Caenorhabditis elegans: one gene and its partner. The protein of the gene in region 1 purifies or fractionates together with the protein of each later gene. This does not show direct contact. Each region holds a gene or a part of one and is shown on either strand. Other genes may lie near its edges. The genes, in order: lbp-5 and F40A3.3.

Evidence for each region.
Region 2: the proteins of lbp-5 (region 1) and F40A3.3 fractionate together in Caenorhabditis elegans (co-fractionation; one large-scale study listed by BioGRID). This does not show direct contact.

What each region holds. Positions count from the first base shown.
Region 1 is NC_003279.8:6,730,586-6,734,394, reverse strand, and holds lbp-5 (Fatty acid-binding protein homolog 5), read left to right. Parts: upstream 1-2,118; 5' UTR 2,119-2,125; coding exon 2,126-2,335; intron 2,336-2,864; coding exon 2,865-3,065; 3' UTR 3,066-3,128; downstream 3,129-3,809. Other genes in the region: smg-5 (PIN domain-containing protein), read left to right, coding at 1-213; ant-1.2 (ADP/ATP translocase), read left to right, coding at 3,436-3,809.
Region 2 is NC_003283.11:7,875,384-7,879,041, forward strand, and holds F40A3.3 (Phosphatidylethanolamine-binding protein), read left to right. Parts: upstream 1-2,145; coding exon 2,146-2,159; intron 2,160-2,230; coding exon 2,231-2,326; intron 2,327-2,392; coding exon 2,393-2,507; intron 2,508-2,553; coding exon 2,554-3,009; downstream 3,010-3,658. Other genes in the region: F40A3.4 (Envelope glycoprotein N), read left to right, coding at 466-535, 1,057-1,120, 1,176-1,320; F40A3.2 (EGF-like domain-containing protein), read left to right, coding at 3,550-3,643.

The DNA of each region.
Region 1 (3,809 bases):
TTAATGGAGCTTCAAGCAGAGGGAAAAATTGTGCTAAAGAAATGTGATAACGAGAGAAGCTGCGCGGAGCAATTGGTTCAAAGTGCACGAAGATCTGCAGAAGATCACAAGCATATTGTCGCTTTTCTGTGCAAAAACCCGAGTGAACAGAAAGAAATGGAAGGAGTTACTTTTTACGATATCGATCAGTTCTACATGAAGTATTTGGAGTGATGAAAAGAAAGGGCTCTACACTGAAAAATCTCACGATGGCTGGAATTGGAACCGCTTAAAATCATTGAGATCATATTCTTCGGATTTATTTTTGATTTATTTTACTGGATTCAATTATTTGACAATTTTTTGGTAATAAAATTTTCTAATTAACTCTTTTCAAATCATTTCACAATAGTATTAAATTAATAGTAGTACTATGTTCCATTTCGTTCAAATTGAAAATTCCAAGAGCACTCCCACGTATCTAAACAATTATGAATTCTTTTGCCACCCCCGTAAACCATTTAGAAAATTGCATTTTCATTTCACAATCATACCTTTTCGATTCCTATCAGCCTACTATAAATTGATTTTCATGAAGTAAGTAACATTTTCAATTTTTATGCTCCGCAAATCGAAGCTACACATTCCCTGACTGTGAGTATTCTAGAGTACTGTAAGTCTACTATTTTGCTAAACGTGCGAAAACTTCCAGATACCGAATTAGTTCCAGAACATTCACCCTCACTAAAAACTCTAAAATCACCTTAATTTGAATGTTCCTCTGTGTCCCGTCAGACAGTGTCTAGGGCCGATTCTCAGTCAGATAAATAGCGCTCTTCTTTTAGAAACAGGGTGAGAGGAGATTGTATCACTCTCATATCGAGGTCATTCAAATGAAAAGAGGTATACTTTTGTTGATTGAAATACATTTGTGTAAAGTTGAGATGTTTCGATTTGAAAACTTGAGAAAAAAATCTGGTTTTGTTTACTAATTGCGGCTTTTACAGTTTACCATTTACTGCTGTATTGTCTCGTCATGCCACTTAGACACCCAATTTTCAATTGAAGTAGAAATTATATTTCCTTCTTTTTCCAAATCTCACTAAGATTATATCAACTACGAAATCGATACAAAATATCTACATACAAACTGTTTTTCTGGTGAATTCTACCTTACTCCACTCATCTTTCCAAATTTTCAGTGAATGTTATCATATTTCTAAAACTAGGTATGGGAAAACTGAAAATGTGCCCTGAAAAGCAGTGGTCCCCCAATATTTTTTTAAATTAATGTTGGTTTTCGCAACGTCATAGTTGTCAAATAAGTCGGTTTCAAAACTTGAACAAACATTTTCGATTGACTCACACATAAACGGACACAGTAAAGTCAGAGAAAAGTCACAATTTTGATTTTTTTTTGTTTTTTGTATAACAAATACTGTATAAACACTCAAATATTTAAAAGCTTCTTGCGAAAAATTCCCGCATTTATAGTAGATCAATCCGTTATGGTACATCTTGACATATAGTTCTGGAAAATATTTTTTTAATCGAAAACCTACATTGGCCATCGTTTAACCTTGTTGCCCGCCATCTCTTCCACGTTAAAAGTAGCGTTTTGGTGTTATGCTCAATTAAAAAAATGTCAAAAATTGTAAAAAAAAAAACGAGATCGCATTGTATCTACTTTTGAACGACACTATATGTCAAAAGTTTAAAAAGTACTATTAATCGTGATTCACCATGTACATACTACACTCCATCTTAGTGTATTCCATGTTATCAGTTCAAAACCGTCCAAAAATTGACCAACTTGTCCATCACCCAATACAACGTGGCAGCAGTTTCAGTACACTCCCCCTTGTGTCCTATTTACTATATATACGTTTTTCTGGTTTTCACTCATCTAAACCACTTTCTCCTGCTTTTTGTATTAATATTCCTTATTGCAATGCATTACATTTTTTATTTTTGTCATTAGAAACTATAAATTTAATAATACGAATCCAAAAGAATCATAGGCAATTTTCTAAAAGCAGAAATAAATCATCCAGAATTTCTTAATACTTATTCGTTTTTCATTTAATTCCCTTTATTATTATTCTGGTACTTCTTTATCAAAATTGTAAATTTCCAAATTTTCAGAATGTCTGCTGAACAATTTGTGGGTCGTTGGAAGCTTGTCGAATCCGAGAATTTCGAGGATTACCTGAAAGAAGTTGGGGTTGGTCTTCTTCTTCGTAAAGCCGCGTGTGCTGCAAAACCAACTTTAGAGATCAAAGTGAATGGAAACAAGTGGCATGTCAATCAACTTAGCACCTTCAAGAACACCACATTGGAGTTCACTCTGGGAGTGGTAAGTGAAATTTTGAAAAAAGGAAACGAGAATAGAACTCAACAACTATATGGCTTTTTCGTTAGTTATTTTCTTTCCCATTTAAAAACTTTCAAATGCCTTTCTCGAAACTCTAGCAAACACTGATAAGACTCAAACTAGTGGGTCAAAGTGCAGGAAGGTACACGTGGTTTTCAGTGTAAACAAAAAAATGAGAATAAAGAACAACTGAACTTTGTATCCATTTGAACACTACACACAACAAACGGGTGTTCTATTAACATAGATACACTTTGTGGCATGAAGAAATAATCTAATGTTTATGTCTTTCAGAATAGGTCTATGGAAAATTCAATTGCGAACTCTAAACGAACATTTGAAATCAAAAAAAGAATCATATTAAATCTAACAAAATATTTTTTTTTCGAATTAGTTACGATCTTTAAATGTGTCGGCTACATGAAAAACAACTCCCGGTTTTCATTCCATTAAAGTTCAGTTTTTAAATTGACTGTTATAATTTACCATTTAAAAAAATAGTGTTTTTTAGGAATTCGACGAGACAACACCAGACGGTCGTCAATTCAAGTCAACCATCACAATTGAAGATGGAAAAGTAGTTCATGTTCAAAAAAGGATTAAGGATTCAGATCATGATTCTGTAATCACTCGTTGGTTTGAAGGAGAAAAGCTCATCACAACTCTCCAATCTGGATCAGTTATCTCTCGTCGTGCCTATATTCGTGAATAGATTATTTTGAATATTGTTCTTGTTTTGTTCGGTCTTTGATGCAATAAATAGCGAAAAATAGTGTTTTTGTTTACGCAGAGTGACGTTTTAAAGGACCAGAAACCCTTTTCTTTTCTCTGTCTCTGTTAAAAAAGGCCTTGTTTATTTTCCGTAAAATTTTTCATTAGTTTCAACAATTTTTAAAGAAACACTTTTGTTTTAGATTTTTCTTTTTTTTTAAATTAATTTTATTCTTTATATTGATTAGACTTTCATGACCAAAATTTTGAGAAGAGTCTAGTGAGCTCCTTCCTACTCGCATTTGAAGAAAGTTTTATTATCAGCATTCAGGAAATATAATCTCTGAAAAAAAACATTCCAGAAGGACAAAATGACCACAAAGGAAGGATTTGATTATCGAAAGTTTCTTGTTGATCTCGCCTCCGGAGGCACTGCTGCAGCAATCTCAAAAACTGCCGTTGCTCCAATTGAACGTGTAAAGCTTCTACTTCAAGTCAGTGATGTCTCTGAAACAGTAACTGCCGATAAAAAATATAAAGGAATTATGGATGTTCTTGCTAGAGTGCCAAAAGAACAAGGATATGCAGCATTTTGGAGAGGAAACCTTGCAAATGTGCTTCGATATTTTCCAACGCAAGCGCTGAATTTTGCATTCAAAGACACTTATAAGAAGATGTTTCAAGAAGGAATTGACAAGAATAAAGAATTCTGGAAATTCTTTGCTGGAAATCTCGCTTCTGGTGG
Region 2 (3,658 bases), on another chromosome or scaffold:
AATTTAGGTTTGAACTCTGATGCTTGCACAGAATTCATCAACGTTTTTGAAGTTATTTACATAGGACAAATTGATGAGTTTTTTTTTGGCATTTCGACTAAAAATAGCAACATTATTTACCTAGACTGTCTGAATAATTAATTTTAAATTCAAAGATATTTCTAGATTACCTGTGACGGTACATAAACTGCTTTTAACAGATCTTCAATATTAATTTATAAAAACGAAAAAAAACGTGTCAAAGTGACTTTGCACTTTTAAAGTAATCCCTCTCTCAATTTCATTTTTATCCAAAATACCCTCTATATTTCGAACTCATTTCGTTTTCATTTGACCTCCTCTTATTTTTTATCCAATTTCCTCTAACTTTTTTTTGCAGTTTCCGGCGAAAAAGGATCAAATGTGTCGTCCGTGAACTCGTCCATCATCAGTTTTCTCCAAACAAGAAACAAAAAACAACAAACCATGTCGCGAATGGATAGTTATAGTTCATCGATTCGTGAGGAGCAGAAAGCCATTCTTAATGGTCTTTTAGGTATTCTTTTTGCGGACGGTTAGTCAAAAGTGTACTGTAGTAGAAACGAAAATGTGCTTTGGTGCATGTGGATTTTGTGATGAGATACTAATAATTTGTACGCGTGAGGGTGAATTATTCTTTTTTTGTAAAATTTGACGCACTAATTTTTTTTGGAAATCAAACATTTGCTCGTAAAATGTGATGTATTGAATCGGCACACTGCACCTTTTCCTTTTGATCTTAAACCAGTAATTAAAAAAAACAATTTATACTCGTTTATTTTTCCACTGGTGTCGCACGGTAAATTTAGTATGACGTCACTATATCCGGACAACAATTTCTAATTTTCAGTTGCTTCTTTTTCAATCAATTATTTCTGAAGATTTACTAAAAAAAATAGTCAAAAATTCCTGAAATCTCAAGTTAGTCCATGTCCCCAAGAGCCGCGAAGTTACACATGTTTTTTGCATTTTTGTTGAGTGAAAACTGTTTTTAAAAAGAAGTTCGAGACAATTACAAAAAATTAATTTTTTTTTCAGGAATAATCTATGACAACTATGACACAACTAGGAAAATTCATCAAACCGTCGATGGAATCTATCGGTTAGTTCCTTCAATTCATTCTTAATATTCTTCTTGGTGAGACCCATTTTTTCAGAATGGTCGTCGCCTTATTGCTCATCGTGATAGCTCTCATCATCATTGCCGTATTTCTCATTTGTTTCTTTCATTGTCGCCGTGCCAACAACGAGGAGAGATCTCCACTGCACTCGAATCGAAAAAGTCATCCCATTGAAATTTGAACATTATTTAAGAATTTTGTAATTTTCGATAGAATACGTTTTGTTATGGGTCTTGCCTTGTGTACCAATAAATTTTTGAACTATGCAGAATATCTAACAATTATGGCTGATTTTAGTCGTTTTTATGTAAAAGCGAAGAAAAATCAGCGATTTTGGACCTAATAATTTGTATAAGGTTTTTGTATAAGGCCATGAAACCTTTTGAAACCAGGCTGTACCTTTAAAGAGGTACCGTAATTTTATCATTTTTTTCGATGTTTTCTGAAACCAGTTTTTTTTTCACTTTTCTAGTCGATTTTTAATTTAACATTTCTCCAAAAGACACAAACATTACAATTATGTGTTGACAGTTAGACAGGAAAAGTGCAGCGAGACGCAGAGAACAACGAAACTCCGTTGCAGGCGCTGCGCCCGTATTAATGTGAACCGAAGATTTTTTTGTAAATAAATTTGATGATTTCAAAACTGTTATCTGATCGAAAATTCATTTTTAAATGAAAATGTTTGCGAAAATAATAAATAATACAGTAACTTTAGGTATTTATTAAAGGCGCATCCAGGATTTTTTAGTAAGGTCTCGCCACGAGTTAGCTCCGTACTACTCGTGGGCAAGATATACATTTTAATAATTAATTCGCTGTTTTTTTTTAAATTTTTTCTTCACTTTTATCGCCATTTAAACCGAGAAAAAAGCTTTCGATGTTCAAATTGATATCTTTTACATTCTCAAATAATAAATTTTCGTTCTGACACGACCTAAATAAGTTTCTCTCGACATGTTTCGTTGTTTGCATCCATTCCTGATATTTTGTCTTCTGACAAAACATGATTTCTCATCGGTATGTAGTGAAAACTAATTGATTGTATTGTTTTTCTTTCGCGTGAGAAAATAATAAAAAAATAAATTAAGGATGGTCGTCCTGGTAACGAGATCTCTGCTCCCCGCCTTATTTTTTGCTTCTAGAGCTCCATTCGCTGCCGCAACTACTTCTGCTAGATTCCAAAGGTTTTCGTTCATATTTTTCTTCTTTTCCAATTTTTTTATTCAACTAAACCTTTTTGTTTATTTCAGAGGTCTCGCTACAATGGCCGCCGAAGCATTCACCAAACACGAGGTCATTCCAGACGTTCTCGCTTCCAACCCACCATCCAAGGTTGTGTCTGTCAAGTTCAACTCTGGCGTCGAGGTAATTCAAAAAAAAGAAATTTAAAAATGTTTAAAAATGTTTTCAGGCTAATCTTGGAAACGTTCTCACTCCAACCCAAGTAAAGGATACTCCAGAAGTAAAATGGGATGCTGAGCCAGGAGCACTCTACACTCTCATCAAGACGGATCCAGATGCTCCATCTCGCAAAGAGCCAACCTACCGAGAGTGGCATCACTGGCTCGTCGTCAACATTCCAGGAAACGACATTGCCAAAGGAGACACTCTTTCCGAGTACATCGGCGCCGGACCACCACCAAAAACTGGACTCCATCGTTACGTTTACCTGATCTACAAGCAATCTGGACGCATCGAAGATGCCGAGCACGGACGTCTAACCAACACTTCCGGAGACAAAAGAGGAGGATGGAAGGCTGCCGATTTCGTCGCAAAGCACAAGCTCGGTGCTCCAGTCTTCGGAAATCTGTTCCAGGCCGAGTACGACGACTACGTGCCAATTCTCAACAAGCAACTCGGAGCATGAGTTGTTCTTCTGTAAAATTGCTAAATACAAAGTTTGTAATTTATATTGTGATTTTCTATCAGCCAGTTTTTTCCTATCCAAGAAGTAAATAAATTTGATGAAACGATGATAAACAAATCGCAATCTTCAGACGATTCTAACTTTGTTATCTTCTCTCCCTATCCGTCCTCCAATCATCGTTACTGATTACCAGGCAGTGGCCATTCGAATTCTCCCATTTCGACATTCTCGTCTCTTCTCATTTTTCTTCTCTCTGACGCCGACGACTTCCAAATTTCTGTCTTCTTCGCTCGCAGGTTATCATGTTAACCCTCCATTCTCATCCACAGTCTATTTACAATACAATTCTCCAATTTCTTTTCCGTTTTCCAAATTGATTCCAGTGTCTTTCTTCGAATCCAAAAATTTTCTTAATTTCTTTCTTGTCTTCTCCGATATTTTACCTAATTGCACCCACTTGACTTTGAAACTAAAGTTGAACTAAGGGCAGAAAAAGAAAAACACACAGGTTTTTTGTTGAGGTAATTGCTGCAGCAGAAAATGCTTCGGAGGATTCTTCTCTCCGCTATACTAATTGTTTTAGTAGCCTGCGTTCTCCGCAAGAAGAAGCCATGTATCAATGGAACTCCTGAAGGTGATTAATAAATCT